Mus musculus: one gene and its partners. The main gene of each other region encodes a partner of the protein of the gene in region 3 in a complex. Links are inferred from orthologs where the notes say so. Each region holds a gene or a part of one and is shown on either strand. Other genes may lie near its edges.

Region 1 (3,750 bases), on a different chromosome or scaffold from region 3:
GACACTTACTCAGTGTTTGCTTCTTACTGCATGTTTTTCTCGTTTGTCTTATGTAGTGGGGCGGGGCAGAAGCAGCTGCTCCAGCGTGCATATGATGTCAGAGGTCACCCTTGCGAGGTGTCCAGGTTTGGCCATGAGTGCCCTGACAATTGGGTTACTTAGGCTAACTCCTAAAAGCAAGCTGCTCTCAACCAGAGGTGACTTTTGTGCCTCACCCTGGGGACATTTGAAAATGTCTACAGTCTGTACTGTCACTACAGGAGAGTGGTAACTAGGATCTAGTTTACAGAGGTCAGGGATGTCCCTCAAGACTCTACAGTGTACAGCAGTGGTTCTCAACCTCCCTAATGTGTGAGCCCTTAACACAGTTCCTCATGGTATAGTGAGCCCAACCATAAGGTTAATTTTATTGCTACTGTTATGATTTGTAATGTAAATCTCTGATATGCACATGCAATTCCCGAGGAAGGGTCGCCAGACACCCCCAAAGGGGCTGTGACCTTGGGGTGGGAACTGCTGGCTCAGAGGACAGCACTCTACAACGAAGGACTGAGTGGTGGGAGTGGTTCAACACGTCAGCTGACAGAAATGCTGCCAGGGAGCCCTAGCCACCACCTCGTTCCCTCTCTCTCGGTTTTCTGGCTTAAACACCACGGGATTTTAGGAAAGGCGAGCCTTGGCGTGAGAACCAGATGCTGAGTAGGCAAGCCCCTCTGTGTCTGTGGGTTTAAAGTGTTTACGGATCCAGCCAACCTTGCCTCACCTGGTAAAATGAAGCTGTAATTACTTGTCCAGCGGTCTCTCTGCTACCCAGACACAGACTTTCCCCTTGCTGTACTCCCTAAGCAATACTCTACTGCAACCAGTGACATTAAATGGCACGTTGTGAGTAATCTAGAGATGATGTGAAGGGCACAGGAAGACTGCACAGTTTATATGTAAACACAGAGGAAACCTGAACGTCCATGCACTTTTCGGTACTGGGAGGGATAACAGTAGCACTTATCAGAAGTATCTGATCCCAACACGGGGAAGCTGGAAGCAATCGTCAAAGTCTTGAAAGGGTTGACCTTCAAAAAAATAAATAAATTTCTAGTGCTGAACACAAAAATGTAACTTTTCTATTTTCCAGTCCCTCAATCCAAAAGTAGAAAATAAGCCAGGGAGTTAAAAACAAAACAAAACTTTCTTTAAAGAAGTTCTATTATCTAGTAGGCCACCCTTCAGTGAGAGAAGAGCTGCTGCAGTCGTTAGGGGTACTCACTTGGGAGGCAGGAAACCTGAGTTCTAATCTCTGCTACTTAATTATCTGTGCAGCTTGCGTAACTCATCACCATTTCACCTGTCACGGCCCCAGGCTCATCTGCAAAATAAGGAAGTTAGGCTAGATGGGTACTGGCTGTCTCTTCCTGTTCCAGCATCTGATTAACATGTGCAGTCAGTCAGTCAGTCTGTCTCTCTGTCTGTCTCTGTCTGTCTGTCTGTCTGTCTGTCTCTCTATCTCTCTCTCTCTCTCTCTCTCTCTCTCTCTCTCTCTCTCACACACACACACACAGTCACAGCCTGCAAGTTCAAACTCCCAATAGTAATTCCAAAGTGAGGCTGTGCTTTGCTACTTTAGAACCACAGTAGGCCCTTTCACGGTTTTGAAGAGCCAAATAAATTACTAACACTTTAAGAAAAACCAGTCTCGCAATGTGCAAGAACCATCTATGCTAGTAATTGAAAATTTGAGGAATAGAAGTTAAGGCATCACGATATCGTTCGGGATGCGAAAATGAAGCAAAAAACTCACACCCAAAGACGTCAGCCTGGGAAACAGCTGAATAATTTATGAGATCCACACAATAAAACAGGGGGCCCAAACGAGATCAATGAATTTTAAAATCACAACTTGTCTCATTTTAATGTAAGTATAAAACTAAATACTGGTGTGTGGTTAAAAAACTTGGTGGTCTTAGCTGAAACAGAAACAGGCCCACACAAGAGAAAGGGAGTTGGTGTGCCGAGGCCGTCAGCAAGGACCATTTCCTCCGCTCGTCTGTATTTACTTTCCGTCGCGCAGGGCTCGCGGGTGGAGGAGGGCGCCGAAGTCGCGCGCCACCGTAACCCTGGGCGCTCACCCCAATCGGCGCGAAGCGCGCGCGCCACGGGAGCGCGCCCGGCACCGCGAGCCCGCGTGGCCCAGACCAGCGAGCATCTCCTGGGACGCAGGCCCGGCTCGAGCCGCTCCCCGCCAGCCCGGACCATCCGCGGCCTACGCCAGCCGCTCCCACCCGGAGTGCCTGCCCGCACCCATTCATTCCTCCCAGGCCGCGGGCTCACCTTGCAGCCGGATCCAGAACGCTCACAGGCCGGGCTTCCGCGGACGCGCGCGCCGAAAACCGAAACCGCCCCCGGCAGCGGCTTTCCCATCTCACCCAATCAGCGTCCTCCTTGCCTATGGCGACCCGCGGGGATCAAAAACAGTCAGAACGCGTTAGTGAGCTGGCTTCCAAGACCGGGTTTGTTTAATGGTACCGTCGGCACCCAGCCAGGGCTTGAAGTAAAGGTCCGATATTCTGATATTCTCTCTTTTGCCAGAAAATAGAATACGAAAGCAAAACAACCAACCAAGAGCTAGAAGTGATCTTGTGTGTGTGTGTTTACAGTAAAGAACCTTAAAATATTAAGAAACGGAAACTTACAGTTAAAACGATGGCTGTTGAGCACCCCGAAATAGCCTTAAATAATTTAAAACAAATACAAGTTAAAAGCCTCAAACCCTCAAACTAACTTCTGCATATAAATTAAATGTATGAAGAGATTGTTTCCATGGGAATGCTGAAACAAAAAAATAATTCAAGCAACTCTGAATTATAACGGCATCAATTAGAAAACGTTACAAATTAGTTTAATTGGAAACTGCATGCAGATACTATTTAAGTAGTGTATGGGAACTTGGTTAGGGATACTTCATGAATTCTTAATGCATGCTTTTTATTTATGGAAGAAAAAAAGTCACAGGAAGACAATTTCTTCTACCCCCACGATCTCTTTATATTTTAACTTATATTTTATATTTATATTTTAAATTTTAATTCTGTTTCTGTTGTTTAACATTCAACAAAGTTATAATACCTTCAAACAACAGCTACATAACCCTGATAAGTGTTACAGGATCTAAGATGCAGAATTGTTTTCTGAAACACAAAGTGGATTCCTCCTTTTCTACGTGCCTTTGATTGATATCCTGGACAGTGATCTACCTGCCTTTGGTTGATACCCCAGACAGTGAACAACTGGGTGGAATTTGGAAAAGAACAGGAACATCCTTCTGTCTGTCTGTAAAATTCCAGTTGATGTCAAGACCAAATAATTACAGACATTGATCAAACAGCATTTTAGGCTCTTGAAATATAAAATTAGGAACACAGGTAAAGTCACATTTAAATCAAAGAAGGAGCACGCTATGCCTTGTCCCTAAAATAAAAACTGCTTTATAGGTCAAATTGGGGGCTGAGGATTTAGCACAGTGGTAGCATATCTAGTGTGCATGAACATCTCTGGCACCACAGCGGTAGTGGCATAGTGGCGCTCACACCTGTAATCCTAGCACCCAGGCATGCGTGCAGGAAAATCAGAAATTCAAGATCATCCTCAGCTACAGAATGAGTTTGAGACCAGCCTGGGCTATTTGAGACCTTGTCTAAAAAAAGAAAAAAGAAAGAAAAATCAAATTGTGCTACATACTACATTTCTTACTGACTG
Region 2 (3,650 bases), on a different chromosome or scaffold from region 3:
CATGAAGGCTCACAACCATTTGTATAGCTACAGTGTACCCATATACATAAAATAAATAAATAAAATCTTTAAAAAAAACCCACAGCACACAAAAGTAGTTTTCATTTTGAAAAGAAATTATGCAACTTTTTATAAGCTGTATAAATTGTAGCAAAAAGTTGGGGACAGTGGTTTATTTAGGTTAAAAATATTTATTACAAGCAGATTCCCCGTTTCCCATATTAAAAAGAAACTAAGGCCTGGTTAGATCCATTTCTAAACCCATTATCTAATAAAGTACTACACTAAGGGAAAGAGACTGAGAAAGTTAACACTGGGAAAGAACAGAAACCAAAAAAAAAAGTCAAATTGATCCTTAACAGTTTAGTTTTTAATTAAGCACATAAAACTATATTACTTAATATATTTCTCCATGAACTTCTTGTGAAATTCAGATCGCAGTGTATCATTTACAAATCGTTTGTCTTTCTTCTGGTCATCTATACCTTTTGCACAGTTCTTAAAAACGACATCATCATCCCATCTAAAGAGGAAAAACAAACAACAAATCTGTTATAGTTCATCAGGAGACAAGAACACAACAGACTATAAACCATCACAGATGCTCAACATGCTGTCACCAGACAGCAAAAGCAGCAGCATGCCTACTGTGTGGGGCTGTCACAGCAGGAGGGCATCCCCACTCAGAGCAGACACCACTTCTCCACTAGGAGCAAGTCAGTTACAAAGAAGACACACATAGATTGTGCTTAGGTAAAAGTGTGGTATTTTCAGATTTAAAACACAGAGGCAGGGCCACTTGTCCTGATCCAGACACCTTCAGACAGTAAGTGACCTGTTTACTGTGCTTTGTACAGTTTCATACATTCTCATCAGTTATATCTACCATGGCACACTTCATAATGCAAGGACGAACTACAGGAATGTAACAAGAAAGATTTATAGACCCATGGCTGCTGAAGTGTTCAGAGTAGAGCTCAGTTATATTTCAGAAAACATTAAACACACTCATCAGCAGGTGTTACGGGAAATACGTAGACCAGAGCTATGACCTTCTACATAAACATAAGCCCTTACATATAATAAAGACACTCAAAAACATGCATTAAACACAGCCCATGTAACATGCTTGCATGTGCTGGTGCATGACCACCAGGAGAAACTGCACAAGGGAAATGAGCAAAGCTATGCACACTTATGGAAACTATGTCAGTAAATTTGTCTTGATGCAGTACACACACTAAAAGCTGACCTGCTCAGTGTGACAGGGATACAAATGTTTTGTCTCATATGCAACATGTAATTGATAGCTTCTCTTCACTTCCTCGCTTGCTCCCAACACCCAAACTGCCCTGCCCCTCTGCAATGCTAAGATACAGTCCTCCCTTTCTGCACTTACATCACCATCCCTAGACCATCATCTCTCTCCTCTCCCAATACTCTGTGACTCTCTTGGCTGTCCTCTTCTCTGGCTGCTAAGTCTTAGCATAAGATTTTAAATTCAAATACTATGTATTATGCATTTACTATGCACTTATACTGGGCACTTCTCTAGTGCTGATACAATCTTTTGACTTCTCTCTGCCCACGCTGGCAACTCCCAGATGCATTATTTAATTTCTAGCTTAGACAAACTGCAGAGACACACAGGCTAGATTTACTTAAGAGATGTACAGAACACTCCAAACCTACAATGCCTCAAACCTGCTTCCTCTTTCACATTCAGCATAAGCCATACTCATCCTCATTCCTGCCTCGCAACTGCTCAGGTCAAATGAATAGAGACTGAGCTATGATAAATTGCTAGTTGTCAGCAACCATCTCCTTGACTGTACTATTGTCTTCAAGAATGTGGGTTAAAGTTTAGCTGCATAGGTCACTACAAGGGCTGTACTTTTCCTGTGATTGAGTAAAGAAGCCAATGGTTCTGGGATGAGAAAAGAGGCTGAAGACGGAGCTTTGTTCATGAAGGGTAGGTACTGAGTGAGTGAGCAGGAGAGTGGCAGGGCAGTGCTTCTTCATTGCCGTGTATGCAGAGATGAGGCAGTGGAGCTCCTCACACCCTCACACACACTACCCCTGCTCCTGTGAGGCATCCTCATCCGACATCGGTGTCCCTCTTCAGCTCTTTATTGTCCCCCTCTGCACACTGTACATGAGAGTTCCCTCTTGGGCCCCGACTCTAAGCGTAGCTTTGGTTAGTTAGCACTGGAAACCCGCACCTTCTCTCACCATCACTGTGCCTATAGTGCACAGGTTCCTACAGGACCACTCCCTTGAGACTCCTGAGTCTCAACTTTAGTTTCACTGTTTGGTGACCTCTTACAAGGAACAGGATTTTAAGGAAGCCTATATCTCTCCACCTTGTGACTTGGATGTATATCCATGAAGACTTACAACTGTATGATCTGTGTGTATCTTATAATATCAAACATGAATACCACCATACCAAGTCCCCTAAGTCCTTCTAGAATTGAATTGTGAGGGGTGGTCTTGGGGACCCCAACACTAACATCTCACGTAAAGCTTGGTAGCTACAGTCACTCTGGCTCTCTTATTTAGACAATCACTAAGCAGAGACTTGGCTATTATAAGTATGCATTAAAATGAAGTCTCCCACCTCTTTTCATCTTCCGTATTCTAAAATCTGATTGGGAAGGTTATCAACAGAAAGTGGGATCCTAGAAACTTTATAGAACACACGGAACACTAACCATGGTCACACACGTACACCAACCCATGACTTTTCGTACCTTCTTTTAACCTTGAAGTTGGCCTGAGGCTGGGACGGGCCAGTGAGGTTTAGGAGAGGGTTTCCACTCAGAATGTTTTCCATGCGAATTCTCTCTTCCTCTGCTTTTTGTTCTTGTTCCTGTCAATGACAGAGGAAGACACAAAGTTACTCTCTCCAGGTCAGCTGACCAATATTAGCCCACAATGAACTCATCTGGTACAGGGAGAAAAGATACTTTTCCTTTTTTTCTGTTTAATGACAGGGTCTCCAGCAACCCAAGCTGGCACGGGACTCGCTAGGTAGCAGAGGATGACCTTGACCTTCTGAGTGCATGGTAGGTGTGCAGGCCCCCATTTGCAGTGATAGGGATGGGGTGGTGCAAGGCCTGCTACAAAGCACTTTACCACTGACCCACTCCTCTTTTTGATTCTTAGTAAATGCCAGGAAAATCTTACTAATAAAACTTAAGCACGTTGCCATTTTTATCCCATCCTTGCCAATAGTCATTGGCCTCTCTAAACTGTGAGAAGCTGAGATGCTAGCAAGGTTGTTGTCTCACTTTTTAAGGGGCTACAGACAACATAATTCAATTTTGAGTTACAAACCATGTTAAGTTTCCATCTCTAGGATGAATTAGTTATTAACTAGGGAGTAATTCCTAAGACAAGACAAACTGTCATGTAAAAGATGGTCACATTCTAATAATATGTACTTCAATTAATTTATATAAAATATCGTTTGTTCTTATGCTTTATTGTTAGCGATCTATACCTTTCTTATATACTTTCTTCACTGTTACAATACTGTCTATATTTTTAAAAAGTATTTCTGTATATATTTAGCGTGTGTGCATGCATGCATATGGGTACCACAGTACAACGGAGGTCAGGGGACAACCTGCAGAAATCCATTCTCT
Region 3 (3,750 bases):
GTGTCCTTCTGAGTCACTCTTCACCCTACCTTCTGAGACAGGGTCTCTCATTGAACCTAGGACTTGGCGATTAAGTTAGACTAGTTGGCCATCCAGCCCAGGCACCCTCCTTCCTGTCTCTGGAATTACAGGCATGTAATTTTGTGTAGGTGCTGGTTGACAGACCTCATGTCCCACCTACCGAATCATCTCCCCTGGGCCCAAGGTATCTGCATTAAATGCATTTTTTTTTAACTTACATTTCTAACTTACCTTAAGTTTATCAGGTTGTATACCATGTAGGTTGTTTTGTTTTGAAACAAGGCCTCATGTAGCTTAGATCTGGAACGTACTACTTAGCTTAAGGTCATACTCACCTTGCGCCTTCCACAAGCTGAGATTACAGATGTGTTCTAGGAGCACCTGTGCACTACTACCTCCCTGAATCTTCACCTCCTGTCCCCTTGCGGGACGGAGATGCTGAGGCCTAATGACTTAATTATCACCGGTCACACAACTGAGAGAGATCTGAGTCCAACAAGCCGATTTCAATACCTCCAAGCTAGTTAGATTGCCATCTTCAGTTGCCACTGCAACAGTTAACTCTGCATAAAGGTGATGAGGGTTGAATCTGTTATTGAACAAGCCACAACTCCACCACTGCTTCGGGCATGACCATCTAGACTAGCTCTGGGGCCCAAAACAAATAAGGGGAGTCTGCAGATGGTTCTGGACAAGATGCCGCCTCTAAATTCCAGAGCAGCTCTCAGAAGAGCACCTAGGCAGAGGCAAGCCTCTCAGCCTACCTCCAGGTGGCGCTGTAGGACCGACCTCGACTTCAAAGAGCGGTTGAGTCGGAAGGCCGCCGGCGGAGTCTATCAGCATAGAGAAAAAGCGGCTCCTGGCCTAGAGAGGCGTTCCCCAGGACCGGCCCGCGTCGCCGACGACCACTGCACTTCCGTTTCCGGGTCTTGCTTCCGGAAGTCGCTTTCCGAGGCGGCCTTCCTACTCGTGTGGTCTTTGTGACTTCCACCATGGCGTACCGCGGCCAGGGCCAAAAGGTGCAGAAGGTGATGGTGCAGCCCATCGTATCCTACGCTGCGTGAACTCGGGGCTTTGGGGGCCGTAGGCGCCGTGAGCGTGGGCGGGGAGCCGGGCAGCCCGCTGCGGGCCGCTTCCCGTGAGGCCCTGGGGCGAACGGGGAGGCAGGAAAGCGCGCGGAGTTGAAGGGCGGCGGGAGGCGGGAGGCGGAAGGCGGGCTCCGGGTGGACCCGGCCAGGCTGGCGATCCGCGATGAAAGCGGGGGATACCGAGGAGGAGAGGAGGATGTGGGCCATCGGGAAGGTTGGAGAAACGAGGGCGGTGGGGAGGGAGCGCATGCTCCCGGCGGTCGTTTGTGCTTGCGGATGTAGCCCGGCCGGACCTTGGGGCGCTGGAGAGTCCGGCGCGGTTGGGAGCGGAGGCTCCGCTGTTTGTGTAGTTCTTTTCCTTGATCGCCGTGCTGCAGAACCTTATCTTCAGATACTTGCAAAATGTACGTAAGTTGTTTCCTTACTGTTACTGAAATGAAAGTTGGGCCTGTTTGACTCTTTGTAACAAATTCTCTGTTTCTAGTGCTTAGACTAAAAAATTGGGGGGGGGGGAGAACCAGAGTTGAGGATAAGGTCACAGGGAAAGCGCTAATTATTAATATGTCCGTGCTGACTTAAGGATGCACACAGTTACCATTATTCTGTAAGAACAATGTAATTATATTTACTATTAAAATTACTCTGTAAGAACGATTTGTCATCGGATTTAGCAGTGACAGTTGCATAGTGCTTTTTCCATAGTTGGACTTAGAATGGAGAAAAGACACCAAAGCGGGGTTTGGGGGAGTGGGGGCGTTATATACAGAGAAGCGAGTGGCAAATGCTCTTCTTTGAGGAGATTTTAGCGATGTTTATTTTAGAGTGTTACAACACAGATGAAAAATCGTTTTAAGCCATTGTAATTTTTAATCGCCAGATTCGCTTTGTACTATCCTGTGAACAGTTCTAACTGTAAGTGTATTCATGCCAGAAGCAAAAATAAATTTTCAGAGTAGGAAAATTAGTTTGGACAGGCCTGCCCGAGCACTTATTAAATGTTTCTCAGCAGGTTAACCAGTGTTGCTAGCTCTTAGATGAAGACTAACTAGTTCTAGTTTTTGGCTTATATTTATTGGAATTTTTAAGATAAGTCGTTTATTGTGGAAACAAAGTAATGGAGTGGGATTTGTTTACATTTCTAAAGTCATTATTTTTATTTCAGAGATCTCGAATTCAGGTGTGGCTGTATGAACAAGTGAATATGCGGATAGAAGGTTGTATTATTGTGAGTACCCAGGCTATTTTTCCTCAAGTTGTTATTAAAAAAGACATCTCAGAAGATGGCCAGTAAGAACAATATACAAGGCGTCAAGGACCCAACCCAAAGAAAGCTCTTCAGAGCTGGAGTTATTTATTTAGCCTTTTCTCCTTGCTCTGGTTAATAGGGTTAGATAATACTTCTCTTAAGAGGAAGGGAAGGGAGAGGTTAGGCGGTGGTGGCGCACGCCTTTAGTCCCAGCACTCGGGAGGCAGAGGCAGGCGGATTTCTGAGTTTGAGGCCAGGCTGGTCTACAGAGTGAGTTCCAGGACAGCCAGAGCTACACAGAGAAACCCTGTCTTGAAAAACCAAAAAAAAAAAAAAAAAGGAAGGGAGAGTTAAGACTTTTAAGAAGAGCTTCGTTTGTGAGGAGAGGGAACAAAAACAAAATGAGAGGGGGGCGGGGAGTGATAAAGGACTTGCATTCTGGATTAGATCATGCCAGAATAGAGCTGGTGGGGGTGAGACTTATGGTTTGTTAGGCTTCTATCGTGATGGTGTTGGGGATCAAAGTACCTGCTCTACCACACAGCTACCATGGCAATAAGTTTTTGTTGTTATTTTAGATTTATTTGTCTGAGTGTTTTGCCTGTGTGTGTTTAATGCCCAAACAGGCCAGAAGTTGTTGGCTCACCTGAAGATGGGTGATTGTGAGCTTCCATGTAGGTGCTGGGAACCAAACCTGGGTCCTTTGCAAGAGCAGCAAGGAAGGATTTGTAACTCCACCACCTCTCCCGTCTCTGTTTTTCCTTTGTGTGAGGCAGAGTCTTTTAAGAGAGACTTACACATGGAAATCCTCTTGTCTGAGCCTCTTCAATGTTTAGATTAATAGCCATGAAAATGGAAAAAAAATTTTTTTAAAGATTTATTTATTTTTATGTGCAATGGTGTTCTGCCTACTGTTATTTGTGTGAGGGCACCAGATCCCCTGGGACTGGAGTTATCAACAGTTGTGAGATGCCATGTGGGTGCTGGGAATTGAATCTGGGTCCTCTGGAAGAAAAGCCAGTCTTCTTAACTACTGAACTGTCCAGCTCTGGCATTGTTATTTTGAGGCAAGAAATTGCTATGTAGCCCAGTAAAGGCCTTGAACTTCCCATCCTGCCTCAGCCTCCTGAGATTTACAGACGTGCTCAGCCTCACTTTTTTTTTTTCTTTTTTGCATCAAGGGAGTGAGTGGGGTTGCTTTGTACATACTCATATGTGTGGATGTATGTGCTAGAGGTATCTTTTATTGCTCTCTGCTTTTTGAGCCTGGAACTCATGGATTTAACAAGACTAGTTGGCCAGCACTAGGTGCGGCTGCAGGCCACTGTGCACTGCATTGTTTGAGTAGGGATCCAAACTCATGACTGCATGTACTTTACCAATTGACATGTCTCC

What was found.
Region 1: Snrpe (region 3) and Lsm6 share a complex: the UniProt entries of both Homo sapiens proteins name them as parts of the U4/U6-U5 tri-snRNP complex. The link is inferred for Mus musculus from reciprocal best matches to the Homo sapiens genes SNRPE and LSM6.
Region 2: Snrpe (region 3) and Cwc15 share a complex: the UniProt entries of both Homo sapiens proteins name them as parts of the minor spliceosome. The link is inferred for Mus musculus from reciprocal best matches to the Homo sapiens genes SNRPE and CWC15.

Annotation. Positions count from the first base shown.
Region 1 is NC_000074.6:78,818,723-78,822,472, forward strand, and holds the start of Lsm6 (U6 snRNA-associated Sm-like protein LSm6), read right to left. Parts: upstream 2,431-3,750; 5' UTR 2,326-2,430; intron 1,364-2,325; 5' UTR 1,265-1,363; intron 1-1,264. UniProt on the Homo sapiens protein: Plays a role in pre-mRNA splicing as component of the U4/U6-U5 tri-snRNP complex that is involved in spliceosome assembly, and as component of the precatalytic spliceosome (spliceosome B complex).
Region 2 is NC_000075.6:14,507,073-14,510,722, reverse strand, and holds the end of Cwc15 (spliceosome-associated protein CWC15 homolog), read right to left. Parts: intron 2,873-3,650; coding exon 2,754-2,872; intron 524-2,753; coding exon 394-523; 3' UTR 103-393; downstream 1-102. UniProt on the Homo sapiens protein: Involved in pre-mRNA splicing as component of the spliceosome. Component of the PRP19-CDC5L complex that forms an integral part of the spliceosome and is required for activating pre-mRNA splicing.
Region 3 is NC_000067.6:133,607,481-133,611,230, reverse strand, and holds the start of Snrpe (small nuclear ribonucleoprotein E), read left to right. Parts: upstream 1-950; 5' UTR 951-1,013; coding exon 1,014-1,067; intron 1,068-1,486; coding exon 1,487-1,513; intron 1,514-2,271; coding exon 2,272-2,334; intron 2,335-3,750. UniProt on the Homo sapiens protein: Plays a role in pre-mRNA splicing as a core component of the spliceosomal U1, U2, U4 and U5 small nuclear ribonucleoproteins (snRNPs), the building blocks of the spliceosome.